Caenorhabditis elegans: one gene and its partner. The protein of the gene in region 1 purifies or fractionates together with the protein of each later gene. This does not show direct contact. Each region holds a gene or a part of one and is shown on either strand. Other genes may lie near its edges. The genes, in order: gtf-2E2 and rpb-6.

Evidence for each region.
Region 2: the proteins of gtf-2E2 (region 1) and rpb-6 fractionate together in Caenorhabditis elegans (co-fractionation; one large-scale study listed by BioGRID). This does not show direct contact.

Annotation. Positions count from the first base shown.
Region 1 is NC_003280.10:11,536,047-11,552,107, reverse strand, and holds gtf-2E2 (Transcription initiation factor IIE subunit beta), read left to right. Parts: upstream 1-9,612; 5' UTR 9,613-9,617; coding exon 9,618-9,695; intron 9,696-9,744; coding exon 9,745-9,838; intron 9,839-9,885; coding exon 9,886-9,977; intron 9,978-10,027; coding exon 10,028-10,315; intron 10,316-10,964; coding exon 10,965-11,282; 3' UTR 11,283-11,335; downstream 11,336-16,061. Other genes in the region: F54D5.7 (putative glutaryl-CoA dehydrogenase, mitochondrial), read right to left, coding at 2,923-3,649, 3,700-4,015, 4,071-4,211, 4,538-4,583; dnj-13 (DnaJ homolog subfamily B member 13), read right to left, coding at 5,137-5,266, 5,324-6,051, 6,257-6,394; F54D5.9 (F-box domain-containing protein), read left to right, coding at 7,337-7,484, 7,533-7,739, 7,788-7,964, 8,019-8,660, 8,714-8,977, 9,038-9,297; dhgd-1 (D-2-hydroxyglutarate dehydrogenase, mitochondrial), read left to right, coding at 11,478-11,670, 11,744-12,310, 12,367-12,883, 12,946-13,132; Y62F5A.9 (uncharacterized protein), read left to right, coding at 13,309-13,482, 13,538-13,662, 16,043-16,061.
Region 2 is NC_003280.10:10,571,499-10,586,439, reverse strand, and holds rpb-6 (putative DNA-directed RNA polymerases I, II, and III subunit RPABC2), read right to left. Parts: upstream 7,061-14,941; coding exon 6,647-7,060; downstream 1-6,646. Other genes in the region: Alpha-1,2-mannosyltransferase algn-9, read right to left, coding at 1-56, 111-312, 834-1,373, 2,017-2,096; mrps-22 (Mitochondrial Ribosomal Protein, Small), read right to left, coding at 2,364-3,359, 3,497-3,674, 3,728-3,810; dap-3 (Small ribosomal subunit protein mS29), read right to left, coding at 4,034-4,119, 4,169-4,265, 4,311-5,045, 5,097-5,306; dohh-1 (Deoxyhypusine hydroxylase), read right to left, coding at 5,472-5,914, 5,964-6,349, 6,395-6,462; Putative serine/threonine-protein phosphatase C06A1.3, read right to left, coding at 12,425-12,562, 12,613-12,818, 13,059-13,673, 13,720-13,812, 14,084-14,126; txt-13 (transcellular chaperone signaling (x)cross tissue), read right to left, coding at 14,583-14,619. UniProt on the Caenorhabditis elegans protein: DNA-dependent RNA polymerases catalyze the transcription of DNA into RNA using the four ribonucleoside triphosphates as substrates.

The DNA of each region.
Region 1 (16,061 bases):
ATAAGAAAAAACGGAAAAAGGCTGTGAAAAACGAAGGAAAACAGGCGGAAAACAAAGCAAGATAAATGGCCGCTGAAACTTGTCGGCTCCTCGGCCATGGATTAGAAACCACTTTTCCTCGTCCCTCGTGAGGAAAAAGTTGCAGTGCAACGAGTAAAGAAACTTCATTTTAAAAAACACCCCATTCCCTTCCCTTTGTCCTGTGTTTAGTTAACCAGCAATGTATGCCCCTAGTGTCATAGTTTGATGTACTTCTTCCTCTTTCATACCACGATGAAGGATTTAGAGAGTCTCCTTGAAAATGTTTATCATACACATGCCCATCACTATAATATCATACACAATTGGTTCCACCGCTTCGACAAGGACGACTTTTCTCTCGAGGATCATGAGACCCCATAAATTGGATTTGGATGCGTTTAAGAAAGCCGTGGCAACGGATCCTTTCCAAACCACCCGTGAGCTGTCAACCGCACCTGGGTCTCATTAAACCAACATCGTACAGGGCTTGGCAGCTCTCGGAATAAAGAAAATTAGGGGTGGATTCATACCTCACACCATGACACAAGACAATCTTGATTTTTTAGTGGATGATTCCCTTTCCCTCCTCATTCTCCACGGGGGCGATTGATGGTTGGACCCAGTTTTTACTGGAGACGAGAAGTGGGACCTCTACGATAACAACCACAGGCGTGCCCAGTGGATTGGAGAAGGAGAGACCCCACAGGATGCCGCCAAACCCGACCTTCACCCCAAAAAAGTCATGCTCACAGTGTGGTGAGAAGTGTACGGCCCCATCTACTGGGAACTGCTACCTGATAGCAAAATAATTACTGGGGGCCTCTACGTTATCTAACCACGAAACCTGAAGAAAGTCTTCAATCGTTCACCCCTGATGGACAAGCAACTCTATTTTCAACAAAACAACGTTTGTCCCTACGGCTTGAAACAAGTATTGCAAGAACTGGTCAGGCGTGGATGGATGGTTCTCCGTTACCCACCGTATTCTCCAGACATTGTCCCATCTGAAAACTGGTTGATTTCCGATGTGACTCGTAACCTCTGGGAAAGAACCTTCAATTCCCATGGAAGTGTCGAAATGGCACTCAAGCATTATTTCGACTTGCGCCTGGAAGGGTTCTTTAAGCAGGACGTTCATAAGTTGCGCACACGTTGGCAGTATACCGATGATAATGATAGCAAATAAAATTTATCCTGAAGTTTCTTTTGCTTCGAGAAATAAACGATTGAAAAAGTCACAAAGACTTCCGGTTCAACCCAATAATTTTTCAAATAACTTTCTCATGTTGACTTCTAAAATTGATATTGATCACCGAAATTGTAACAATTTAGCAAGTTAAGTGCGGAATTGAAGTAAAATACTATAAAAAAACGAAAATCATTGAAAAACATTCATTCGAAATGCGCTGTGACGTCATAAATGTTCAAAAAAAAAGTTTCCCGCTTCTCATGTGCAGTGAAGCGATGGGACAGTCTGACACCACATGCGAATCGGTGAGATACGTTTTGGAATCCGACTTGCTGGGGGAGAAATGACTGTATGGGCTCAGTAAGAACACTTCAAGCCCACAGGACGCTCCGTTTCTTGAATCAGATCCGATTCAAACTTTTCTATTAAGTTGAATGGAATCACTTCGCACCACGAGATTGACGAAAACCAGAAAAAATTTCAAGTTTTGGATGTTTCTGGAGAAAAGAAAGTCGAGGATTTCTTTTTGGGAAATCGAATTCATTAAAGGTGGAGGAGCGATAGTGAGGAAAGTATCAAAAACTACTCCTATGGTGCCAAAATGATCGAATATCATAATAAAACTTTTCAAGCATTTTTTGGAAATGTTTTATTTACAGTCAAAAAGTGGCAATTACTCAGTTTTGTCACTCTTGGAAGTCGACCAAAAAAATTGTTTTTTTCCTACATTTTTATACTATAAGTTTTGTTCTAGCTATTTGTACTAAAACATTATAGGGTCAAAACATGCGAAGTTAGAATATCCTCAAAAGCTCATATTTTTCGAAATTTTGGCAATTTGACAAAATTTTGGCCGGAAATTATGAAAAATCGAAAAAATTTTTGAAGTGTTTTATTAAATTATTCGGTCTTTTTAAATCATTATAAGTGTATTTAAATAGACAAGCCGTAATTTTTCCATTAGTATTTATGACTGTAAAATTAATTTATTCTCCAATTATACAGAGTTCGAGACCAATTTCCATACAATTCACAGATAACTAATGTAATCTTATAAATTTCCAAATTCTGAAAATTCTTAAAACATCATTGTTTAAATATCCAATTATTTGTAATTCAGCTAGATTTCAACTCGGAGCGTTTCATTTTTTTTTGTTGATATTTTCGGATTCCCCTGTGAATATGGTTGTTTTGGAAATAAAAGTAAAAATTTGAACACAATTTTTAATTCTATAGCTCATATCTATTTAAAGAAAATTAAATATATTTAGAAAGAGTCGAGAGAGTGGGTACTGTAGTTGAAACATTTCATTCGTGTCGAGACCCACCTGAATTGTTTCAAATAAATGCATAAAAGACTTGCAGGTCATTGCTGAAATTTATTCAAAGTTATGTAAAAGTTTCTGATTTTCTGGAATTTTAATTCAATATTTATAATTTGGCATTTGGCTGAGTATCAACTCTGTGCACTCCTTTGTGATACGGAGCGTAATAAATTTGACAAAACACCACGTTTTCTAACTAAATTTTATGTTTTCAGACTCTCCTCGAAAGGCTGATCTAATTGAGCAACAAGAAAGAATTTCCAACGTGTGCTACATATTTATTGAAACTTCAATATTTTTGGGAATGAAATAAAACTTTTTGCGTTGAAAAGCAATAGACTATGACAAGACTAGACAATAAGTGAAAAAAGGAAAAAAAAGAAAAAATTAGCAGAATCCGTTGAGTCCCGTGATGGCTCTTCCAAGGATCAGAGCATGTACATCGTGTGTTCCTTCATAAGTGTTAACTGTCTCCAAATTCACCATATGTCTCATAATATGGTACTCATCCACAATTCCATTTCCACCAAGCATATCTCTCGCCTTTCGTGCCACCTCGAGAGCCTTTCCACACGAGTTTCTTTTGATAATCGAGATCTGCTCTGATTGAACTTTTCCCTCATCTTTCAGGCGGGACACACGAAGGCATCCTTGAAGACCCAAAGAGATTTCAGTTAACATATCAGCCATCTTCAACTGCATCAGCTGATTCTGTGCAAGTGGGCGTCCGAACTGTTGGCGATCCAAAGTGTACTGGCGTGCGAGATGGAAGCATTCTTCAGCTGCTCCGAGAGCACCCCACGCGATTCCGAGGCGTGCGTTATTCAGGCATCCGAATGGTCCTTGAAGCCCTTCAGCGTTCGGGAGAAGATTCTCCTCTGGTACTGGAACATCATCCATTGCAATCTGTCCAGTGATCGAGGCTCTCAATGAAAGTTTTCCTTCAATTTTTGGAGTCGTCAGTCCCTTCATTCCACGTTCCAGGATGAATCCCTTGATTTTATTGTTGTGGCGAGCACTTCTCGCCCAAACGACCATCACATCAGAGACAGGGCTGTTGGAGATCCAAGTCTTCGATCCATTCAATTTGTAGGTTTTTGTGGTCTCATCCCAGCTGAAAAACACAAGAGTTTTGAAAATGAATCAAATATTTTCTAGACTTACGTGGCCTTTGTCTCCATTCCTCCTGGATTAGATCCATGATTCGGCTCGGTCAATCCGAAGCATCCGATCTTCTTTCCACTCGCCAAATCGGGAATATATTTCTGCTTCTGATCCTCACTTCCGTAGTTGTAGATCGGTCCGATCACCAGACTCGTTTGCACACTCATCGTAGATCTGTATCCCGAATCGACTCGTTCCACCTCACGAGCGATGAGTCCATAGCCAACAGTTGATGTTCCAGCGCAGCCGTATCCTTGATATGGGGCGCCCAACAGGCCCATACTTCCCATTTCCGGAATCAGGGATGGGTCGAATTCTGGAAATCAAGACTATGGTAAAATTAAATAAGAATTCGGTATGGAGTGTCTCACTTTCAGTTCTGTAAGCTTCTGTGACACGTGGCAAAAGTCGCTCCTGACAGTATTCCCGAGCCGAGAGCATCAAAGATCTTTCGTCTTCAGTGAGCTGATCCGAAAGCTGGAAAGCATCTTGGTAGAACGTCGACGAGAGACCTGAAATATTTGGAGGGTGAGCTCAAGTTTGAGAATAATTTTTTGGGTGTAGTCGAATTTAGACGATATGTAAAAACGATACATCACAAAAATTTCGTTAACGTGAGTTATGGCTTCGAAATAGCGAATAATTCTAAATTTTTTGAACTTCGCGCGCGAACGAGCGCCCTCTGCGTGTACTCCTCTCGGACAATCATATAATTAATATGTTGATTATTGTTTTCGGCTAATTTTAGGTGATTGTTGCGGTTTTTATTGTATTTTTACAGCAGTCTTAATTAAATTCGACTACACCAGCCTTAAATATTAACTGAAACATTAATTACCTCTACTTGCAATCTTGCCAATTGACGTGAATCCTCTGGTCAGCATTTTTGCCGCTGCAAACTGGTAAAGAATGATGATGGTGTGCCCTCATCTCCTTTCTTTCAACGCCCGATATCATCTTTTACCCCCACGTGGCCAAGGACAAGACAATCGATACGATGAGGAGACAGATCAACTGAACACACGAAAATCACAAAACTTTCTTTTGCTTTAATTTAAAAGTTTATTTATCGGAAATGTTGATAAGGAAGCACGAATTAAAATTGAAAGAGGGGGCGGTTGAGGGGGGATACAATTACACCGAGTATCTTGTCAATGAAGGTTTTCATGTCATTAGAATGAGACTTGATAAACGATAAAAAATGCATCTGAATAACTATGGGCAATATGTGTGAGATGGGTAATTAACAATGAAACATGGGTGATAAAAAGAACAACATCCTAATAAAAAATCTCTTAAATACCCGCTTGAAAACATCGAACAAGGCGACTGAATACTGCTAAATCGAATCCAATGGCAATCAAGAGTGATTGTTTACCCGTCTTGGTTCGACTGTAGTTGATTGATAAGCAAGAGAGGGAAAATTGAAAAATGCGATTAGAAGTTCCTCAGAATCACTTCCCGTTGAGTTGGATTGAGTTGTGATGGGAATTCCACGTCAAACTCAATGATTAAATCTCCTCTGTGAGATGGAGACTTTGGATTTGGAAGTCCTTTTCCAGTCAGCCTGAAAGAATTAAAATTAATAATTTACTTCTCGTGAATCTCAAAATTTTTAACCTACCGTCTTGTAGTTCCCGGCTTAATGACATCGTTCAATTGAAGACGGTAGTCTGCTCCATCCAACGTTGGAATCATAATATCAAGGCCAGTCAATGCAGACTTCAGGGAGATCTTTTCGACGCGTTTGATGTCAGATCCCTCTCGCTTGAATTTCGGGTGTGGCTTATCCTTGATGACGAAGACTATGTCGGCGGGAGTTCTGTTCGGGTGCTGATCACCTTCTTTTGGGAATGTGATCTTTGTGCCTGACTTCCATCCTGGTTTAATAGTGACCGTCAAAACTTTGTCTTCTAGGCGTTGAGCATTGTCCGTCATAACTTTTCTTGTAATCTTCATCTTCTTCGTTGTACCTTTCAGTACATCCTCCAAACTGACAGAAAGATCATGGAGCACAGCAGGATCTTGACGAGCATGTCCACGTCTTCCACCTTGATGCATGCCGCCGAACATACCGTCATCCATACCACCTTGATTCATGAAGAACATATTCGGGCCTCCGGCTCCACCACCAAGATCAAACATTCCAGGTCCACCAGCACCGAACGGATCGGATCCTCCAAAGAATGATGAGAAAATGTTCATTGGGTCTCCACGGAATTCGTAGTGCATTCCACCGCCGCCACCACCTCCGGCTCCTGGTCCACCTTCCTTTAGTCCTTCCTCTCCGAATTGATCGTAAATCTTCTTTTTCTTATCATCGGAAAGAACATCGTAAGCTTCGGCAATTTCCTGTAATTAAAAAAAATATTATTTCAGGTTAACATCAATAAATTCCCAGAAAAACTGCAATTTTACTGGGATTTTCTATATTTTGATTAAAATCGTTTTTAAATCGAGTGCTTAAAAATAACAACTTGGTCATGAAAAGTACAGTATCCTTCACCGAGGACCAAAAACTTTTTTTTAAATTAGAAAACTAAATTTTAAAAAATACCTTGAATTTGTTCTCAGCTCCAGCTTCCTTATTCTTATCCGGATGGTATTTCAAAGCCATTTTACGATAAGCCTTTTTGATTTCATCGTCTGTTGCACCTTTGCTGATGCCCAGCACTTTGTAGTAGTCTTTTCCCATTGTGGAAAGTAATCTGAAAAGAAATCATATGAATTTTTGAAATATTAACCAGTAACAGGTTAACGGAATAAATGAAGCAACAGATAGATAAAAAGAATACACCCGGCAGAATAAATATGGGTCAACATCAGAAGAGGAAACACGGAGAAATGGAAGAGAGAGTGCGCCGAATCATGAGAGAGAAGAGTGCGGAACTTTCCAGAGCGTTCTATTTACTCGCGAAGCGCAGTGCATGTTCGATCTTCCGTCGGCCGGTGGAGCGCACATGCATCACTCGTTTTTTTTATTGAAAATACATTGGTTTCGCAAGATAAAAATGAGGAATGAATAAAAGCATGAGCACGATACAAAGAAAAGAATGAGCAAGAGATAAGAAATTGTGCTTTTTGGTATTTATTTTCTGAAAAAAGAATATTCTGGAAGGCGAAGTTTCGTCACGAAAAAATATGTTTGTTGGAAAGAATGATTTACGTACACTAGGAAGAAAAGTTATGCTTAAAATTCACTTGCTTATTTAAAAATTGATTATTTAAAACCTGAATTGTTAAAATTTAAATTATTCGAAGAGAAAATAAAGAGAAAAAATTGTTTCCATGAAATTAGTTTTGTTCTCGTGTATAAACAGCAATCAGATATTATTTTTAGAAAAGATTTTTAGAAAAAACTTTAATAAAACTGTATTGAATTAAACAATTTTAAAAATCAAGCCTCTATCCATAATCCAGAAGGCCTCCTGAACTCTGCGCTCGAAAACCCCTAGGCGCGCCGAAAAAAAATAAATAATGCGAAGAGTACTGTATCAAAGGGACATCAACGGCGCACAGTATGGTCCTGCCACGGAGACATATTTCTGTTTTCCTAAACAAGTTTGTGCGAACCTCCATGCTTTTTCACCGGTCCCAAAGTATTTTCCTCTGATTTTAAAGTATTTTTCGTATAAAAATGTTTCGGCGAACCGAGCCACCGTTCCGATTGTTGGCTAGAAAGCGAAGAAATTCCGATTCGACGCCCCCAATCACGAAGTTCTTTGCAACAGTAAAACGGGAACGTTCAAGCTCTGAATCGAAAAACGTATGCCAGAAGTTGGACGGTACGACAATTTTTCTTTTAATTTAAAATTAATTTTCTTGATTTTCAGAAAGTTTCGAAGCTCCCAACAACTTATCTCAAACCTCTCATACCGATTCACCAGACAATGGGCTTTTGTACTCCTTGGAGGATTTGCGAGCACTTTTAGGTGTTCCTGTCAAATTTTCCTCGAAATGTGTGCCATCTCCAGATGCACCAGTGGGCTTGGAAAACCTGCCGAATAGAGCCTATTCGCATATTTTCACAATTCTTGACAGTTAGTTGTGAAGTACTGATCAGAAATTTTAACATTCACATTTTTCAGTGCAATCCATTAATGCGCTTTCACTGACATCCACAAAGTTGTGCTCACGAGTCAAAACCTACGTTTCAACCCACGATTTTTTCCGTCGAATGCAATTGGATAATCTTGACTTTCTCAATAGCTCACTCCGCCCCGACGATGAAGAATTCTTAGAGAATGATCCTTTCACTGCATGTGGTTAGTGTTGCAATATTTTTATTTTCGTTTATAAATCTAAATGTATTTTAACAGGTGGCCTCATCAAATCCATCACGATCACAATGAACACAAAGATCCGCGCTCAAGTCTTCCTGAACATCTGCCGGAATTTGCGTGATCAACTCGGAGGCTCCCTTCATGGTTTTGGAAGACTCCTGGAAACGATAACGCACAATTGGAAGTTCTCTGAACGTCGTATAATGGTAAAAGCTGCAATCATGATCGACGCTGATCTCCGTCCTTCGATTATCAAGGTTCTTACTGCTAAACCGGGCCAGTTGATAGGTCTCGAGATGAAAGTTCGTTCCGGGTTGACCCAACTCTTCCTCAACTTGAGTCAAGACATCGATGAAGCTTCTCCACAGGAGATTATCGAGTTTGGCTCCTGGTTGTCTGTTCTGATCCGAAACGTAATTGAAAAATATCAGGGAAAGTTCTATTACATCCTATTCGGACCAACAAGATCTTCAAGAATTGGCGAACGCGTCGACTGGGCGTATTTCTGTGAGGACGATTCAGATACCTTCACTTTGCGGAAGAGTGAGCCAAACTATAGGAAATTGCTGTCAACGTTGCTCAATGGAATCCGCGCTCTTCGCATCATGAATAATTCCAAGAGTTCGGACCAAATGTGGAGCGGGAAGAAACTTTATCAGCTTTTCCTCCGGATCATTGGTAATATTTTTTTTTTTAATATTTTTAATTTTTAATAGCTTTTTAATTTTCAGAAGTTTGCGAAGTACAAGGCTTTTGGTCTGAGACCTCATCTTCTATGGCGCTGGCCATTGATTCTTCAGGATTGCTCAGCGAATATCTTGTCACCTGTCTCGATCCTCGCCGCGACGACTATGAAACTCTCCAGAATGAAGCCGCGGAGATGGTGTGTCTCGTACGCAACCATCTTTATCGTTGGTCGGCTGCACCTGCCACGTTTCTCGCCGAACCACTGCACCACGCATTCAATCATCTTGCGCAACTCGATGGTCATTACGGTGAGCGGCGTTCTGTCATCTTTTCGGTGCGAGAAATAACGAATATTATTATTATTACAGACGGTTGCTACAAAGCTTTTCTCGAAAAGATTTGGAACGTTCAAAGTTCACGGTTGAAGGAAATGGTAAAGAACGCGACAAACACAACCGAGTGTTCTGAAAAGATCCGCGAAGAGCTCGACGGTCAGCTCTCAATGGCTCGCCTGTTGACGGATATATCAAACACAGTGGTTCTTCACCAAATAGGCTTCCAGCTTCCAAATGACCTAGCTGCTGAACTCGTCAATGATCCACTAGAAGAAGAGGAGCAGCTGGAATAAATCATGTTTTATCTGTCTAGAAAATTTTGAAAATAGCTTCCAACTGTAGAATTAGTTTTGTTTTTGTTTTCTTTTACTTTTACTTTCACTTTAATTTTAATTTTAATTGTTCAAATTTAAAGCTCCTTTCACTCCTTGTTCCATCTTTCTCATTCTGATAAAATCAGCGAAAACTAATTCACTTTATTGTTTACTACAGGGTTCAGCCCCCTGCCACCATTATTTGCCGGCCACTGGCCTTGAAAAACCTCTTCCATCATCGATTTTCACTCTTAAGAGAGTACTCTTCATTGTTTCGAAAGGTTTTCGTTTAAGCAAAAATGGATCCGGAATTGTTAAGGCAGCGAACTGCTTTCCAGAAGCATGCTGCAACAACGATGGCTGTTCAGAATAAGCCTGTGAGAACTTTAAAAATTAAAAAAATATTGAATTTATCGATTTTTTAAGACAACAGCACCAAATTCACACACAACATACTCTTCAGAAGCAGCAAAAGCGAAAAAGAAGAAAAGCTCTGGACCGGCTCAAAATTTGTCGAAACGTTAGTTGTTAAAATGTAATATTAGTTTCTGAAAACGGAATTTTCAGTCCCAGATTTCAATAATTCCGTGAGCAACGCCAATGCGTTATCAAATGCCACAAATTTCAGTACAATGGCGAAAATTGTGGATTATATGAAGGTATTTATATTTTAAAGCGAAATTTTCGAGTTAAAAACAGTTAATTGCAGAAACGCCACCTAAACAATCAACAATGGCCGTTGACACTTCAAGAAATTCTCGATGAACTTCAAATTTTTGATCTTTCAAAAAGAAGTCTTGCTTTCCTTCAAGAAGCATTACCAAACAATCCTCGACTGATAATGGAATCCGAAAAATTCGCATTTCGACCACCTTACAAAATTAAAGGAAAAACTTCGTTGGTAGCTGTCGCGAGGAAACATTATCAGGACGGAAAAGGTGGAATTCTTGTGTCGGATTTGGCTGAGTGTGTGGCTAATTATGATGCACTACTGCAGGTGGGAATTTGAATAATTTATAACAAAAATAAAGTTTTTATTTTTCAAAAATTTCAGCTAAAAATTAGTAAAATTGATTTTAAAATTATCAGCGGCTTATTTTTCGTAGTAATTAAAATTTGAGTTTGTGATGAATTAGATCTTTTAGAATTTCTGAGTATTCAACAATGTGTTTTTTTTTGATTTTCAAATTGAAATAAATTGAAAATTAAATATATAAATTCACAAAAAAGATAAAATGTGTTGAAAATTTATAAAATAAAATTCAGAAATTACTTTATTTTCAGACTTTTGAACAAATTAACGTTATTTTTCAATTTTTACACGAATAATTTTGATCATTTTCGATCCCATAAGTTAAATATTCCACAAAAAAACATTGAAATCGATAAAAAAAAGGTTTGAAAAAATATATTTAATAAAGTAAAAAAAAATTATTACACTTTTCCAGCATAAAACCTTTTTCCTTAAAAAATTTTCAAAGGAAAAACATTTTTGAAGGCAGAATATTCTCATTATAACTTTTCAAAAACTAGGGTATTTAGGGTTAATTTTGATTAAAAATCAGAATTTTTAAATTTGTCAAACTGAAAAAATCAAAGTATAAAAAAGGAGCAATTTTGTGAAATATTAAATTAAATTTTTCCAGCAAGTATCCTCTGAAGTGATCGTTGTTCCGACACAAGTCAATAAGAAAAAGGATCGAGTCGTCTTCTACAATGACAAAGAATTCACATTCCCAGAGCTCGAAGACGATTTCAAAGCCTTGTGGAGACACGTGTCTGTGGATCATTTGGATGAGAAGAAAATCGAAGAATATCTCCAGAAGAAGGGTCTCGACGCGATGAAGGATCTGACGCCGAAGGTTCGAATGCAGGCTCCACTGAAAAGAAAAGCCGCGAAGAGACGGTTCAATCAAAAAGTACAAAACGAGCATATGGACGGAGTTTTGGAGGATTACGAATGATTTTAATTACACACTTCTGTTAACAGTACATAAAATGAACTATGATCATTTGTATCTCTTCTGTCTCTTTTTCTTATCACTGCCCAGCCGTTTGTTTTCTTATTGTTTTCGGCAAATCGGTCACCTAGCCGAGCTTTGTCTCCTACTATTTCTTTTGAAGTTTCAAGTTATTTTTTGAAAAGTTTCTGAATTCAGATGTTTCTGAAAATCTTGCCACGAATCAGAAGACCAACTAGAAGCTACGCAGCAGTTCTTGCCGCCAGACATGAAGGATTTGCAAAAGTGATGCAGTCGGATTTAATGGCATTTGAGAATTTTCTCGGGCAAGATGCAGTGAAGAAGGACGATATTACAAATCATACTACAGATTGGACAGGCCAATTTAAAGGTATTTGTATTTTAAGATTAGGTTTATTTAATATTAAATAGGTACTTTAAATATTAAATGTTTTAATTTCCAGGTCCTGGCAGTGTCGTCCTCTACCCGAAGAGCACCGAAGAGGTTTCTGCAATATTGGCGTATTGCTCCAAGAACAAATTGGCAGTAGTCCCACAAGGAGGGAATACAGGACTCGTTGGTGGATCAATTCCAGTACATGATGAAGTTGTTATATCAATGAATAAAATCAACAAGCAATTCTCTTTCGACGACACAATGGGAATTCTCAAGTGTGATTCTGGTTTTATTCTGGAAGACTTGGACAACAAACTTGCAAAACTCGGATATATGATGCCTTTTGATCTCGGAGCCAAAGGATCCTGTCAGATTGGAGGAAATATTGCCACGTGTGCAGGAGGGATTCGGTTGATTCGATACGGAAGTCTTCACGCACATCTTCTCGGGCTCACGGTGGTTCTTCCCGATGAACATGGAACTGTTCTACATTTGGGATCAAGCATTCGGAAGGACAACACAACTTTGCACACTCCACACCTATTCTTGGGAAGTGAAGGGCAGTTGGGTGTTATCACAAGCGTCACAATGACTGCGGTTCCTAAACCGAAAAGTGTACAAAGTGCGATGCTTGGTAGGTTGAATATTTATATAATGGGTTCAAATTTTTCAATTTCTAATTTTTTTCAGGCATCGAATCCTTCAAAAAATGCTGCGAAGTACTGAAGCTTGCAAAATCCAGCCTCACTGAAATCCTTTCCTCCTTCGAACTTCTCGACGATGCTACGATGGAATGTTTGAAAACGAATCTAGGATTGCACCCAGTACTGAATGCTCCAACCCCATTCTCGATCCTTGTCGAAACATCAGGATCCAATGAAGATCACGATATGGAGAAAATGAGCGCATTTTTGGATGAATGCCTCTCAAAAAATCTGATTATCGACGGAGTGCTCGCTGGATCTTCTGCAGAAGCTACGAAGATGTGGCAATTGAGAGAAAGTGCACCATTGGCGGTTACCAGAGATGGATATGTCTATAAGCATGATGTTTCTTTACCATTGGAAAATTATTATGAATTGACGAATGTGATGAAGGAACGATGTGGTTCTTTGGCTAAAAGAATTGTCACTTATGGACATTTGGGAGATGGAAACACTCATTTAAATATTACATCTGAAAAACACAATGAAGAACTTGAAAAATTGTAAGTTTCGAGATTTTTCTTTTTTATAAAATTTTAATTCTATTAATAATTTCAAATTCCAGGCTCTATCCCTTCCTCTACGAATGGGTTGTCGATCACGGCGGGTCAATTTCAGCTGAACATGGAATCGGTCAACTGAAGCTACCGTACTCCACATTCGGAAAAGATCCTGAAGAACGACTTTTGACAAAGAAGCTCAAGAACATTTTCGACCCAAATGGGATTCTCAATCCGTACAAAACGATATAATTCTAATTCTAATTATTAATAACGCGTGTAACAATACGTTTAGTAGCACAACTGTATAAACATTTGACCCATATATCGTCGGTTCTATTCTCTTTAATTATTTGAGCACCTGTTGAAGGGGAAAATGAATCCTCCAACCCCCAAAGAGCCGGGTCAATTCATCATTCTCCACTAAAATGACGATCCTAATTGTCGCTCTTTTTGCTTCCATTGTAGTATTATGCCACGGAGGTACTGTAGAAACTTCACATCCAGCTTCGGATAAAATTATTGGAAAATATATAGAATTATCAATGAATCTTACGATTCTTCTCGCAGATACTGCTATAGATGAGGCTAAAATTCATCAGGTTTGTGATTTTTTTTTTGAGAGAATTTTTTTAAACCAATGTTCAATTATTCTAGTTATCCAAAGATATGGTGTCAAATGATTACGACGAGGATAAAGTGCAACGAGTTTTGGACAAATTCATGGAAAGTCTTCCGGCAGATCAGAAAAAAGATTTTGGAAGACTTTATTTTGATAAAGTGTTAGTTTTAAGTTTAAGTTTAAAAACAGCAAAAAAAGAGCAGGAGGCTCCAGACCTAGGTGATTTTTCACCCGGTGATAGCGAGTTGTTAGAAGTATCTATCACTGCAGAGAAAAACCACCAAGGTCTCTGGGACCCACTTAAAAATAACTCACCTTGATATCAAATGCACCTGTACCCGCACCTTAGCTGATGTACACCCGGTGATAGGATTTCTGATATCTTATCATCATGGCATACATCCACTGAGGTGCGGACAGGAGGTTCGGAGACACCAGAGCCAAGCTGATTTACACCCGGTGATAATCTCAATGACGAGCTTATTACCAAGACGAAATCAGCTGGGCTCTCGGTATATCAGGAATTCAATAATCAGTAGCTGAATGGTAGAATGTAGGGGAAAACTCCAGAAATCGGAATGAGTCACAGGTCCTACTCCAGTTTTTCTCCCGGTGATAGAGACTTTTGGATGCGTTATCACCACGGAAAAAACCGGAACAGGACCTGGCTCACAGAGAAACCACGAGGACCACTGCAAGTGTTCACCCGGTGATACAGATTAGAGAATGTAGCACCGCAACGGACACCCACACTGGTCCAAGGGTTTCTAGAATCGATTTTAAGATATTTTATCTTTCCGCGTCGGGGACCCATGCGAATTTTCACCCGGTGATAGACACTTTGGATGGTCTAGCACTGAAGCGAAAATTGGCGCGGTTCCCCGACAGCGGTGGAGCAAGTGGAAAAGATCGAGCCACTGCTAGTTTCCACCCGGTGATAGTTCTAATGGAAAGTACCACTGTGGAAGAAACCAGCAATGGCTCGATCTGATCCGAGAATAATAGTTGGGAATGGAAATTAGGAGAGGGGAAGAAGGGAGAAAGTGATGGGAGAAAAGAGAAAATAAAAAAACAACTGATGACTGAATGGACCATTTCCATTCCTTTTATACTGCTGACTTGGTGCACCATTGGGTCTCCGCCCATTTGGTGTAGCGCGTTTGGTGTAGAGCAACGTGTCCACTCGGCGTCTCTTCATTTCACACACTCTCTCGGCTCGTTGCGGTCAAATGGTGTGCAGTGTGCGCTCGCGCGCGCGCGCTCACAGCAACGAACAGACGGACGCGCTCGATAAATGGTGGGCCCGATGGTCAACCGGGCAGGTCTAGGAATCGTAGAAAAGAAAGGGAAGAAAGAGGGGAGAAGAAGAAGGAGAAGGTCTGGGAAACACAGATTAGAGACTGGAGACAGGGGTGAAGGAAATTGGATGCGACGGGATGAACGCTAGGCGCCGGACGGCGGAGTTTTTCGGATTCTCTCGCTTCTTCTCGATGTCTAGAATAGGCGCATGCGGAAAGTAGAAGGCGGACAATCTGTTCCATTTTTTTGGAAGAGAGATAGATAGAAGGAGAAGCGAATAAGATTGAAGACGTGGACGGATGACCTCCCGTGTCGGGAAAAAAACCAGAAATAAAAAAGATGGAGCCAGCCAGCAGTGTAATCCGTTTCAAACGAGTCCGCTTTCATCGTTCCGCCGAAATGAGATTGCACTTGAGTGAGGAGAGAAGTTAATAAAAATAAGAAAAAAAAATTCGATTTTCAACTGTGAATATTCATGAGCACTGCATAACAATGTGCTCCAGCACAGAAACATGACGAATTGATGATTGCTAATAAAAATTTCGATTTGGAGAAACGTTTCTATCGAGAAAACACGTTACAGTAGGAAATTCTGTGCCTGTAAATTTTTATGATTGCGAAAAAGAGGTGTGCGCCTTTAAAGGATTACGGTAATTAAAAATTTTAATTTTCGGTGTTTTTAAAGTTTTTTTTTTTTTCGAAAAAAAAGTAAAAGTGATTAAAAAGACAAAATTTGATAAATTTTTGTTGAATTTAAAAAGGCGCACATACATTTTAAGTAAATTCAAACTTTGTTTCTGGGGAGTAGATTTTTCATAAATTTCGATAAAAATAGATTTATTTTTTTAACTCTAATATAACTGTATAAATATTCAAAAAAAAACCTCTAAAAATCCGTGAGAATATTTACTGCATCAACAAATGTTTAAAATTACAGTACTCTTCAAAGGCGCATATGTACCTTTCCGAATTTATTGAAAAACTGTCGTGTCGAGTCCGGATACCGTATTTTTCAGCGCAAAAAAATCGTATAATATCGCGAACATTTGAAAAAAAAATTTTGTTTCTCAGCAGGAAAACCATATTCTTTGAGATCTAGAGCAACAAACCAATGAATTATATTACATGTAAAGGTCCTAGACCACCTGACCAACTGATTGCGCAAGTTTCTAGTGTACACACTCGGGACCAATAACTTATGACGTAACTTTTTATCAAACTATATATACTTTTTCTTCCAGAAAACTCGACTACATAACT
Region 2 (14,941 bases), 960 kb from region 1:
TAAAGTGATGGACCAGGACCACTGACAACGTTGTAGAGGAAGATGTTTAATGGGGCCTTAAAGGATTTAATTAACTTAGAATTTAAATTTTAGAAATTAAATTTACTTACCAAAACAGTCTTTCCAAAATAATGACTATCAGTAATAACCTGCACACCACCAATACATAATCCAATCACTAACGATGTCAGAATAAATCTAATTCTTAATCCTTTCAATAAAAGCATATCGGCAACAATCGGAAGCCCCAAGACAGCAGAGAACGGCCAGCCAACCATAGTGGAGAAAGCGACGCAGAAGATTCCAGCTGTCCTGTAATAAGAAGAATATAGATAATTCTAAAGCGCGAAGATTTTCTATTTTTGCTCCAGAAATACGGTAACCGGTCTCGAAGCGACTAATGTTTTGAATGGAAAAAATGGTGCGCCTTTGAGGATTACTGTAGTTCTCAACAAGGGTGTGGGATATTCGATTTTCCGTTTTCCAAAATTTCGACAAATGTTTCATTTCAAAAAAAATCGTTTTTTTTTTTTAAATTTATTTTGAATTTTGGTCATTTTTCCTCTTTGTAGAATTGAATTATATGTTTTTCTTATCAGAATAAATAAAATTCGATTAAAATTTTTTTCAATTTTTCGGTTTTTTTTTTGTGAAAAAATCTAATCCCGCGACAACGGGGAGTTATAAACTACAGTAATCTTTAAAGGCCCATGCTAGTTTGAATTCTAAAATTTTTTAAAAAGCTGGTCGCTTCGGGACCGGGTACAGTAATTTCGGAGCAAAAATCGTAAAATTCCGTTTTTTTTTAATTTAGAAAGTGAAGTTTGTATTACCAATTCTCGTTGAGATATGCTCCAAGTATGTAGAAAGTTATAGCCATACAGAATGAAGATGGAACGAATGCAGTACTTGCCAGGAACATTCCAGATGAGAAAATTGAGAATAAGATGAAGAATCGGCCAGTTGCAATGTTGATTTTCTTACAAATGGCATCAAATGCATAATATTCTCCCAACAAACAAAATAAACCAATTGTCAATCGAATAAGAGTGAAAACTACAATTTTAGTGTCACCGAACAAGTTGGCAAAAAGACTCGCGGGAATGTAGTGGAGGTAAATGTAGAAATACGATCGGATGGCATAAACGGGAGAGTATTCCCATGTTTGAAATCCTTCTCCGTAAAGAAACAAATGAAGTGGCTCCCAATAGTTGTAGACTTCATCACAATCATTGATAATACCCCATATTGCACCGGAAATTCGAATTGAGAGCAACATTTTGAAGACTGAACCGAAGGAAAATGGCCAGTCATTGTCTGGATTGTTGGCTTTGTGATATAGTTTTTCGACTTTTATCTTCTTTTTGTCGGCGCTGAAAAAATAAAAAAAATCAATTTTTTAAAAAATATTTTTCGTTCTTCTTTTTTCTCGTTTTTCCGATTTTCAAAAATTGAAAATTTTTGTGTTTTTCCTAGAAAAAAAAAATGGTTTTAGTTCGAAACAAGGGTAGTTTATAAACTAGCTTTTAAAAAAATCATAAATTTTCGATTTTTTTCATATTTTTCGTGCATGTTCTATACTTTTTTCTAAAGTTACCGATTTCTAAAAATCTAAAAATTTTGTTTTGACCGCGAAAAAAACTATTCGAATTTTCAACAATTTCCGGTTTTTTCTTAATATTTTAAAGAAAAATTCGTTGTTTTCTTATCAATATTAAATTTTTGATAAATCTAGTTTTTAAAAAAATTTGAAAAATGTCGCTTTTCGCAAAAAATCGAATAATCAATAATTTCCTGTCATTTCTCGATATTTTACATAAATTAATTTTTTTTTCATCAAAATCAACTTAAAAATCAGGTTTAAAAAACCATATTTAGAATACTCAAAAGTTTTTATTCTTCGATTTTCCGATGTTCAATTTTTCGAATTCCAATAAATTGAACATTTGCTTTTTTTTTTGGGTGAAACCTGGTAGTTTAAAAGGGTTTTTCAATTCAAAAATGTGTTCAACTCACTCAAAACTAGATCGATCAACTATTCTTGGCGGTGGTTTCTGTGGCGGACCACTGCCTCCTTTTCTTCTATGCGTCACCATGGTTTAACCTGAAAAATGTGGATTGAAAAAATGTTTCTAACAAGATTAACAAATAACAAGTGGATGGGATATCAACCAATCTAATCAATTTTTTTGAAAAAAAAGTTCAAAATCTGTAAATTTCATAGAAAAAAAAACAAAAAAACGAGAATTAAAAAAAAAAGAATAAAATGAAAACAAACAATGAAAAAAAACAATAGATAGCTAAAATCCTAATAAATACAAAAATTATTTCAATTTTCACTTTAAATCTCTATCTAGAAAGCATCATTCTTTTTTCTTTCCATCATCATCTGATCTCTTTTCCCTACTTCTCCATCGTCCTTTTCCACCACCACGTCCTCCTTCATCTTTCTTATTCTCTTCACCTCCTCCTCCTTCACGTCCACTTCCCTCACTCTTCACCACTTTCACCGAATATTCACTGCTCAAATCACCAAGTGGTCCATCGGCTCCACGAATATTGGCTGAAGTGATGCGTGCTTTTCTCTTGTCCACTCGTACTCCAAATCGTTCCCTCACGTGCTCCGTCTGCTCCTGATCTGATTTCAATTTTCCATTGTTGATAAAATTCAAAAGATCCTGAATTTCATCTCGGAATCGAGCATTCTGCTTCGCAAAATCCTTTACAATCTTCTCATCAGAATCTCCCTGAGCAATTGTAACTCTCCAATCGGGACGAACAGCCTTCTGAAGTCTCACAAGATTTGCACAGTCGGATAATCTTCCAAGTCCACCAAAATAGTTCAAAAGCTTCTGAATGTTATCGTTCAGTGCCAAATAAAAAGTGAATGGTCCAAAGTGACGAGTTGAGGTTACGACATGGAATTTACCAGATTCATTGATACGATCAAATACGAGTTGACTCAAACGAACATAGGCCGGATCGTCAGGCTCGTAAAACCAGCAAGCCCAGTCTAGAACGAATTCGTGATCATTCTTATCAAGAGCATTTTGTAGATTTGGATCCGAGAAGAGTGGTGGAGGATTCACAGAACGATTCGGTTTTTGATAATAAGTTCTGTTCATTCGATCATGTTCTTCTGGATTCGCAGTTCTCAATGTACCATCGGGTTCTCTCACGACTACAGTACGATCCTGGTCGGTCGCATCGAAAGTGATATCAGTGAATACGAATTTGCTAGTGTCAAAATCCTTCAATTCGAGATCTTTGGCGAGGATCTGAACACTCTCCTCGCGAGGTTCTTTCACTGGAACAAATTGTAGGAATCTGCGAGCTTCTTCACGCATACGCTCTCGAGTCTGGAAAAAAATAAGTCAAATTGAATAAATAGCTTCTCATTTTGGTGAGTAGTTTCTAGTCTAGCAGATCCAAGTTTATCAGAAACTCGACTGTAAATCGACAAATGCGGTAAATTATAAATCATTTTCAAACAAACCTTTTCAAGTCGTTCTTCAGTCATAAGAGCGAAATGAGATCTTTGTTGAATCGAAGTTCTTCGCGGTCTGAACACTTTGTGCTCCAAATCAATTTCTGTTAAATCCGTCAGTAGCTTTTGCACTTCCTTCTCAACGAAGAGTTTCTCAACATTGATGTCGTCTGGTGTTTTAGAGTTACTGAAAATGAATCATATTAAATATATATTTTACAAAATTTAAAATTCAAATACCTTGCTTTGATCCATTGCGATGCAGATCGAACCTCGGCTGAAAGCCGGGTTAATGCCGAAACTCGAGGTTTCAGCTGGAGCATGGAGATCTGGATCTGGAAATTGATGAATAAAAATAGAATAAGATACAGAGAATAAATATGAAATCCCGATCAGAACAGGAACAACGAACAACAAAAACAATGGCCAGTTGTATAATAAAAACATTATTTTTCATTCTCTATTCATAACAAATAAAACTAGAGACCTAAAAATTAAAAAAAAACAGAAACACTCAACAAAAAACGTAAATTATAATGATTTAAATCAGTTGAACGCACAAAGCCTCTCGTAATAATATGGATTGAATGCGCTGAGATGCATAAGTTGTTTCCTTCCTTCCTCGCTACGAGCTGCAAACAATTTGGAAATTGCAATATAATGGGATTGGCGGTCTCTCACCTGCTTTTGATGCTAACCAGTTCTTGTTCACATAGTAATTATAGATTGCATCTGTTTCGGCTTCCGTATAATTTGACGTTTCAATTGGAACGAATGGCTGAAAAATTAGTTTTCAAGATAATATATATGCTTTCAATTTTACCTCAACATATTCAAATCCTTCTTCTCCAAACAATTCCAATGGAGTGTGCCTGGAGACTCCGAGATGATCCCTGGCGTCTGCAACCTCTTTCTTATCTGCAACCATCAGAACACATCCATTAGTCCAATCATTTTCGATCATTCGCCGGTAATGTACAACAAGAGTAAGATCCGAAGGTGGTGCATAGGTTCTATCAGCTCGTTTCACCAAAGTTTTTCCCCACAGAGAATTCGCATCATCAATCGCCACTAGAACCTTCAGTTTGTCATCTTTTGCGTGGCGTCGGAGCTCTCGGAAGATTGCACCAACACAATCACTGGCAAGGAACGGAGCAGAGATTCCCATTTCAATAATTTCAGTGATAGGTTTTCCTTTCAACGTTCGTTCACTTTTCGACCATTCATAATCTCTTTCAGTGAGCAACTCTCCGAGAATCTTCCAGATATGTTGGTTTTGTTGCTTGAAATTTTGGAGAATAGAAACAGAATTCGATGGATCATTGATACGGCCTTGTACAAAAGATGACATCTCAATTTCTTTTACTCTTCTTGTCAGCTCCATTGCACTTCTTAGATGAACAATTGCCCATTTATTATTATAAGCATGATGAACAGCTTGATTGAGAGTAACCGACTTTCCGGTTCCGAAAGCTCCCCATAACACGAGGCGAAGAGCTGGAAGACTTTTATCCACAACTCGCATACAGCTTGCTACTTCTGCCATTGGTTCTCGGATCTGAAAATATATTTATTGAATATAATATTCCATTGATTATCGCCGACTAACCAAGGTAACAACTTCTCCCAACGTATCCATCTGTTTAGAAAGTGGAGCTGGCAGATGATTTCTCATATTAAGCTGTTTGGCAACTGGCATCTCAATTTCGGAAAGAGTTCCAACATCTGCTAACTGGGAATTGGATCGTCTCGAAATATGCAGCTGGCGAGCCGGAAGTCGGCGAGCGATCTGGCACATTAGGTTTCCACACGGCTTCATTCTGTAAAACTTGTCTGAAGTTCCGGGAGAAATCTGGTAAAAGTAGATAAATTTCGACAAAACGTAAATTGAATTAGAAACTGGATCACAAACTAGGTGAAATTTTTAATTAAAACTGGAAAACAAAACAATGAACAAGAACAGGAGGAAATCAACAAAAAATTATTAAACGTGAGCGTATTGTAGATCATCACTGTTTTCATATTCAGCCATATCCAAGGCAACTTCGCAGCTTTCTCGAACAACACGCTCCTCATCATTGACGTATTGCTTCAAAATCTCCGTACATTCTTCGTTGGCAATTGCTCCAAGAGCTTCAGCACATTCGTGACGGACCATGCAATTTTCAGTTGACAGTAGAAGACGATCCTTCAATTCTTGAGTGGCAACAGGCGACTGAAGTTGTCCTAAAACGTATGCGACTTCGTGACGGAACAAAGCACTATCTTCACAGTAGAGACCTTGAGCAAGAGCTTTGATGGATTTATCTGTCTTAATGTTTCTTAGACTGAACATCGCACGATATCTGTCGAAAAGTGGAAGTGAAGCGTCGATCAGAGTGGCTGCGAGCTCTTCGACGTCGGATGTTGAAGCTGATGGTGTTGGATCTACAAATTAAACTTTTATAAGCAAAATATGTTTAATTGAATCGCTTACCAACGCTATCATAAGGGCTGTTGGTATCCTTTCCACTTTTTTCAACCCATTCCACCCTTCCTAATGCAATTTGGCATGTCTCGGAAACTTCTGGACACGGATCTTGTGCATATTTTCGGAGGACATCTTTGACTGAAGGATCAGCAATTGCTCCCAACGCTTCACCGGCTTCATGGCGGACCATTGGCTCTTGCTTCTCGTCCTCAAGAACACTCACAAGTGTTGGAATGGCGTGCTTGTTCTGCATTTGACCCAAGCAGTAAGCCAACTCATGCTTCAGAAGTGCTGATTCGTCATTCAGACATTTTCCAATCCAGTCAACAGAACGATCACATCCAATATTCCGGAGAATAAATAGAGCTCGGAAACGAGCTTTCAGAGGTTTCCTGAAAATTTTCATTTATTAATTGGAAAAAAATCTACAAGATTACTTTGTGTCGTTTAATGCCTCTCCAAAGCTGTCGATTTCGGCATCAGAGAACTTTTGCGAAGCGACCATCTTTCCCGTTGTTCGAGTTGAATCTAAAATTTTATTCATTAATTTTCAAATAACATTGTCAACAAGGAGAGAGAAAGAGAATAATACGAACGGAACAAAATAAAAATGAGAGTGTAAGATCAGAAATGAGGAGAGCAAAAAAGGTGAAACAGTTAAAATGAGGAAAAATTAGAGAAACATTTCTCTACCAATCAGCGAGTTGAAGTTGATCGGTTGGCCAGTCTTCGTATGATCCATCTGGAAGGTAGCGGCGGACAATGATCGGGATACGGCGTTGTTTAAGCTCCTTGCGAGCAATCTCCAATGGATCGGTCTCTCCTTCAAGTTCAACCATAACCGGAGCTCCCATGGCGATTTGGAGAGCGCGAGTGCCAAGAACTCGAGCTCGTTCGTATTTTGTCATGAATGGAGTTGTCACATGCTCACTAGTCGGAACAGCCTTTCCTTGATCGAAAAGCTCGAAATTCTCGTCCACGTTGTCATCGTCCTCGTCCTCATTGTCAGGGCGTTGTGGATCTTCTTCGATCACGTCCTCCATTTCGTTGTCGTCAACGAAATCATCATTATCCATATCTTGATAATCGTCCTCATCGGCCATTCTGAGTCTGCAAAATTGAATTTACTAGTTATTTCTTAACATTTATAAGAAAAAACCGATAATCAAATGAAATACAAGAGTGATACAAATATAAATAGGAAAATCAATACAGAACCAGGCCTAAAGATATTTCTACACGGATGATTCAACATTAGATTATTGTAACAGTGAAAAATTATCAATTTGTTAAATATTAAAACTTTTAAAGATATTTTCAATTTATTCCATTCAGGAAAAGCAAAAAAGCAAAAGAAAGAAAATTGGTTCTACGAAATTGTTCAGGTGGATTTACGTTAAACAAGACGCAAGGCGTAACGGTGGAACGTCGTTGTGAGAGGCAATTTGAATTCTAGTGAAGGTCTCACAGCGAAAGTCACCTACAGTAACCCAGAATTTTAGGATTACCTGTCGCGAAGAAGGAGAATATACATATTCATCCTATCACGACTTTTTATAGTAAGGGGTTCAAAAGCAAATGAACACAGAAATGAAGAAGTAAAATGGTAACGGAAATGGTCGGGTCTTGCTTAGTATCACGAGCTGATAATAAGCCATTTTTGAAGGGGCCGGGAGTGTCGCGAATACGCAGAATACTGATATTCCGCCGATCACGACTTAAGAAATGATATTAATACCCAGGAAATGCGTCAAGGAAATATTAAAGAATTATTATGATTATTACGAAGTCTTTCCGTATTCTAAATGCTCACGACAATCCACGGAAGTCATCAACAACGACAAAGCCGGGAAACTCCTGTTTGAAAGCCGCGCCAAAAGACACACACGTCACGAGTGTTACAGTACTACCACACATGCACATCAAACCCCAACACGTCGACACCGCGCAAGGAAATCGTCACTTCTTCGTTTTACTCTCGGACCGGCAGGTCGCATGTTAAATATATGAGCTTTATCATTTTTATCATTCAACGGATTTATTAGTAATAAATTATGTAATTCTACCACTTTTGAACCTATACCGATACGAAACATTACCGCGATTTTCAATTTCGTATTTTCTTTTCCCCTTTTTCGCGGAATTTGTCGTTTTCGATGCTCGTTTTGTGTGTTATTTTTATATTTTTGTTTCAAATATTAATGTCGCACCTCCTTGATATATCAACGCATTTTTTTCTATACTTCCTACACTACTTTTAATTATCAATTTACAGGACAAAATCGAAAGATGCCAGCCCTTCCATCAGTCTACACGCCTTCTGGAGCTCCATCGAGCGTCCACGCACCACCTGCCGTTCCACCAGTTCCAGTTCCAACTCAACCGCTAAGATCGGAGTATCAGACGTCTAACGACGCTTGCATCAAGAGACTGGAAGAGCTCAATGTACGTTTAATCGGTTTCATAACCTTCTAATTTGTTAAATTTCAGATCGCTCCAGCTGCAAAGCTGTATCCAGCACCGACTGAACCAGGAAAATGTGGCGTTGAGGCCGAAATACAAACCAACGTATTCGGAATCGAGATGCACCAGGACTCGTTGTTCTATCAGTACAGCGTTCACATCACGACGGAACTGAAAAACGGGAATGAAGTTACTTTCACCAAGAAGGGAAAGGATGAGTAAGCTACCGCATTATTTAAACCTTGCTCATAATATGTTTCAGTTTCGTCGTTACTGAGAGACGAAAAGTGCTGTGCGATTCTGTTTCGCGCTCTTGGCGATTATGAGGAGTTCTTCAGAACGTCTGATAGCTGTCTCATTTACGATGGTCAAAGCATTCTGTTCTCCAACGTGGATCTTTTCCAAGGGTTCAGAGAAGGCGCAGTAAAGGTAAATACAATAAATCTTGATCAATGTTATTCATAATATTTCAGACCAAGTACATGCAGCTTGATGGAGGAGAGATTGATCATAAGGATCTCAAATCGTTGCCGTGTATCAAGCTGGAGGTGTTCCCCACTAAAAATCCAGCGGTCAAGTTCACACGAGAAGACGTAGCAAGACGAGCTTCTGACTCAAACCTCGATTCTGTCAGCTTGGCATACCAACAGATCCTCGAACTCGCTCTCACTCAACCATGTATTCGTAACACTGCAAGATACGTTGTTTTCGATCATGGAAAAATGTTTTTCATTGACCCACTCGGTGAAGGATTCGAGAAGTCCGACGTTGTTGACGTTGGGGATGGAAAGCAAGTTGTACCAGGACTCAAGAAGACGATCAACTTCATTGAAGGACCCTATGGCAGGGGGCGGAGCAATCCATCAGTTGTCATTGACGGTCAGTGTTCAAAATAATAATCTCATAGTTATTTCTTTTTTCAGGGATGAAGGTCGCTTTCCATAAGAATCAGCCAATTCTCGATAAACTGAAGGAGATAACTACGCAACCTGTGGAACACGGCCTGAAGGGACCCGAAAAGGACCGCTGCGCAGCTGTCATCAAAGGTCTCGATTGCTATTCTACATATGGTGGTCGTGAACGTCATCACAAGATCGAGGGAATCCATCACGAAGGGGCTGGAAATGCTCGTTTTCAGCTCAATGACGGTGGAAGCTGTACTGTAGCTCAATATTTCGAAGACGTATACAACATCACTCTTCGCTACCCAGGCGCAAACCTCATCGTTTCCAAGGAGAGAGGAAATATCAACTTCTACCCGATGGAATTGTTGAAGATCAGTTCTCATCAACGCGTTCAGATCCCGCAGCAAACCAGTGCTCAGAGTCAAAAGACCACTAAAGAAAGTGCTGTTATGCCTGACGTTCGCCAGCGTCTGATCATGACGGGAAAAAATGCGGCGCAAATTTCATCGGACAACGAGGCTCTCGGTAAAATGGGTGTCTCGGTGTGTGAAGAACCGCTCATGGTCAAAGGACGCTCAATTCCTGCCGTCAAGTTGGCGAACGCTGAAAACGGAACCAATCCAATCAATGTCAAGGACAACAAGTGGCGTCCCAACCGCTTCACTCGACCAGCCACGGCGCCGAATGTGTGGGCGATATATGTCGTCGGTACCACATCAACTCGCATAACCTTGGATACTCTGAAGTAAGTTTGGCAAAATAGTTTCATATCTCAATTCTACGTTACAGGAAATTCGCAGATGAGTTTGCGGCTATGTGCAAGTCAAAAGGAGTCAACATGCCTGCTCCTGCTGACATGTCGCTCATTCATATGGACGCCATCGAGAGTCGTCTGTACGACGCTATGAAAGCAAATTGCATGTTCGTTTTCATCATAACGGACGATTCAATCACTACACTCCATCGTATGTTATATTGTTTACGATATTTATCTATATTTCTATCTTTCAGAGCGTTACAAGGTGATTGAGAAGGATACGAAGATGATCATACAAGATATGAAGCTATCGAAAGCATTGAGTGTTATCAATGCAGGAAAGCGGTTAACTCTCGAAAACGTTATCAACAAGACGAATGTGAAACTGAGAGGATCCAACTATGTTTTCGTGGACGTCAAGAAGTATTAGTTTCTTTTTCCGAAATTCATATTAATTTAATATTCTTTCAGGCAGCTCGACTCGCATCTGATCATTGGAGTTGGAATTTCCGCGCCACCTGCCGGGACCAAGTACGCGATGGAGAACAAAGGAGTTCTAAATCCCAATGTTATTGGCTATGCATACAACGCACAGCACAACCAGGAGTTCAGTGGAGACTTCATGTTAAACTCTGCCAGCCAAGATGTGAGTTTCCAGTCCATTTTAGAATAGTTTCATTCCATTCAATTTCAGACTCTTGCGCCGATTGAGGATATTGTGATGCACTCGCTCAGCGAATACCAAAGGTTCCATAATGGCGGTCTTCCGAGACGCGTCATTATCTACCGAACTGAAACAAGCGAAGGAAATCATGGATCAATCATGGCCTATGAGATTCCTCTTGTTCGTGTTGCCATGAGAGGTTTCTCACCTGAAATTCAACTGGTCTACATCGTGGTGTCAAAGGATCACAGCTTCAGATTCTTCAAGCCGGATGTGGTTTGTTATTATTAACCTTGTATTTCAATAACTTCCTGTATTTTCAGACAAGTCTAGCTGCCCGTCCACAAGCGACTTCCAGCACCGCAAGCAGACATTCTGCAATGCCAGCCGCTCCAAAAGCATGGGATCTGAATATTGCTCCCGGTATTATGGTCGATTCCATCGTGACAAATCCGGCCTGCAAGCAATTTTTCCTGAATTCCCACATCACTCTGCAAGGAACTGCGAAAACTCCATTGTACACAGTTCTCGCCGATGACGCCAAAGTCAGCATGACGGCATTGGAGGATATCACGTACAAGCTGTGCCATCTTCACCAGATTGTTGGACTTCCGACGTCGCTTCCAACTTCATTGTATGTCGCCAACGAGTACGCCAAGAGAGGACGCAATCTGTGGAACGAGGCAGTGTAAGTTTTGCTATCGCATTTTATAGATAAACTATTTTGTTTTCAGGACCATGGATAACATTCCAAGTGTTAGCGGCCCGGAGGCAGACCGTCTCAGAGAGTTGACCAGCATCATCTGCTACAAAGCTTCGGGAGATCTGACGGAACGTCGTGTCAACGCATGATCACCTTCAACAGGCAAATTTTGTTTCATTAACCACCTCATACTTTCCTCGCTGTTCCATGATCCCTTTTCTCAATTGTTTTTGACTAATGATTCCTTCCCACTTGTGTAATTTTACAATGTTACAATTGCAATAAGCTTACCCATACTCACATAGTTTCCCAGTGTATTAATATTGCCCATTCTTGTTATTTCATACTTATCCTGTTATGCACATCCCCCTTCTCCTTGTTAAATATTTGTGTAGCACCCTTTGTGTAGCAATTTGTCATCGCAATTTCTTTTCTCTTTGAAATTACGATGACAAGTTTGCTCTGTGGCCTTTTTTCTTTTTTTCGTTTGTTTTCTTTTACTAATTTCTCGAACATCAACAGATGTTTCGAGAATTTAGTTTTGAATACTAATATAGGCAGTTCAAACTTAATAAAAGTTAATAGCTTTCGAAGTTGTTGTTTTGTTTTCTAGTTTCAGGATCGGTAATCAGTGTCATGGTGTCGATCAAATTCATTGCGATCTCTGCAAATGAAAATTCGAAATTGGTCTGCTAGACAGGAAGTTTTATTATTAATTCAAAAGAAGACTTAAAATGTGGATACTAAATATTTGCAATTCGTTTGAAAATGAAAAATTGAAATTGCAGGGCAACTTTTAAGATGTTTTCACATGACCATTAATGTTACCATTGCGTCCGACCAGACACATTAAAGAAATTTGACTGAAATTTCAGTTTTATCTGCCAATGGAAATTTATTATAAATAAGAAAAAAACCAATTTAAATCAAAACTATTCATTCGATGAAATCTAAATCGGTTACTTTCCACTGCTTCTATTCCTTGACAAATGGCTTAATGGCATCTTTGTCAGCACGAGCCGCATCAATGTTTGGATCGATTGCAATCGCCGGAGCTGCCTTGGCCTTGGTGCCTTCCGGAAGTGGCGGTGGGATCATTTGTTGGAACGAGATCTGAAATTAAAAATTTTATTACTTTGCGAGAGTCTTCTGGATAAGATTACCTGCAAGTTAGCGTTCAAGCAAACCACTGCAGCAGCGTTGGTGAACTGAGCACAGTAGTTTGGCACTGAGAAGACAGTTATCAGACGGCGTCCAGTCATCATTTCATATCCATCCTGGACGACTTGATGAGCGCGAATGATCAGATCAATCTCCAGGGACTTGCATGCCTGCTCGACGACTCCTTTACCAAACATGTAGCTGATTCCTGAAAAAAATCGCATTTTTGAGACTTATGACCTTAAAAGGTCTCGAAACGACTTAACAGCAAGGTGTAGAGACTACTACTGTAACAATTAAAGACGCATGCCTTTTTTGCACACTTTTCAAGACGTTTCAAGACCGTAATATTGGGTCTCGCCGCGAGAAAAAGCTTGTGATAGCGGTTTTTGAACAAAGTAAAAATGTTTCTCTCGGTGAGACCCATTCAGCTGTGGAATTTTCATACCTCGGATAGAATGGAACCATCCTTCTCCCTTGTTCGTCGGATCCGACCACAACAAATCAATGAGCAATCCACGATCCAGCGGCTCACACGGACGTGGAATGTTCCTGATCGTATCGAGATTGATGAGCTCCGGTGAGAGCCCACCGTGCATACAGAGCACTCTCTTCGAGATCAACCCAGACATTGGCATGCGGTTGAAGCATGACTGGAAGTCCCACCACAAACCGATTCCATACTTGTATTGACACTCCACATAGAATCCATAGATCTTGTTGACCGACGGTGTCTCATGGTTTCCACGAAGCAAGTAGATGCGATCTCTGTAGCGGATCTTCAAGCAGAAGAGAAGGATCAGAACTTCGATTCCTTGCGGTCCACGGTCGACGTAGTCTCCAAGGAACATGAGCTTCTCCTCTGGAACTCGACCGATCAAATCGAACAAACGATTCATGTCCTGGTACTGAGCGTGGATGTCCCCGATGACTTTGATGGGAGCCTCGGCTTCACAAAGATTGCTCTCCTCCATGAAGATTGCCTCGACCATCCGGATAATCGAAATGATCTCGTGTCCAGTCATCACATTGCAAATGTTGATGTTCGTGTCCTTGTAGAGACCTGGAAAAGTTGGAGGTTTATGGTATTTAGTGAAAGCGGGACCTACTATTCATTCTCTTGATGCAATCATCCATCCATTCAGCCAATTTCGGATTCTCCTTCGCCAGATCGAACTTTGATATCTCAGATGATTTTGGACCTGGAAAAAGAGTGTCATTAGAAAGTACGAAAATCTGTGATTTTTGAGCAAAAGGAGACCCGGTGGATCGGTGAATGCCAATCGGGCAGATCAGTGCATAGTTCCTGGGCGTAGACAATCCACCAGATTGTAATCCCCCGATTTGCCGAGTCGGATCCACGGTAGCTGACAGGTTTTGGTCGTTTCAAGACCCACTGGTATTAGATGCTGCACAGCAAGTCGCGGTGAGACCCAACACCAGCGCGAGCATCCCAAACGAGAACAAGCTTACCTTCTTTCGATCCTTTCTTGTTGTTATTCCCGTCGGTGCTCATCATGAAGACGTTGCTAAATCCTCTTTCGCAACCAAGCACACTGCGTTAAAATTGAGAACTGATTTGTTTCAAAACTGAACTAAACTTTTTTGTATGTTTTTTTTGTATTCAAAAGTTTACGTTTTTTTTTAAGTTTTACCAAATTTGTTCAAATTGGAAGTTTGAAGGTTGTCACGATAAAAAATTGACCATTTCTTTACGGTTCGTTTTTTAACACTTTTATCGCAGTCACGACATTTTCAGAAATTGAAAAAAAATAAAATAATTCCAGATGTTTATTAGTTATCAGCTAGGATCTCGAAAAGTGATTGAAAATTTACAGAAAATGAAAAAAATAAAAGCTGTACGCGTATACATACAAACGGGGATACAAATGTTTTAGCAAGAGACGCAAAAAATGAAAAAAACAGAAGCTCTAAATATTTGAAGAGGATATTCGAAGAAAAAATGATCCAATCAATTATCGATCGAGTGACGTCTGGCTTGAAGTGGGCTGCAAATTGTAGATTATTACTTAAAAATCAATTTTAAACACATTTTTTGGACACTTCAATATAAAATACTATCATTTCACTGATTAATGGAGTACGGTACCAAATACACGCCAGACAAACGCGCATTGTGTACAGTAGGCCAGGGTAATTGAAATGAAATGACAATAACTATAACAACCACAGGGAAAACTAAATAATCGGGGAGTAATATTAATAAAAATTGAGAGAGAAAAGAAAGGAAAGAGTACGGTAGAAGTTGACAATGTATTATTACAGAAATAAAAATTTGAAAAAAAATTGACTTCTTTATTTTCAAACTGG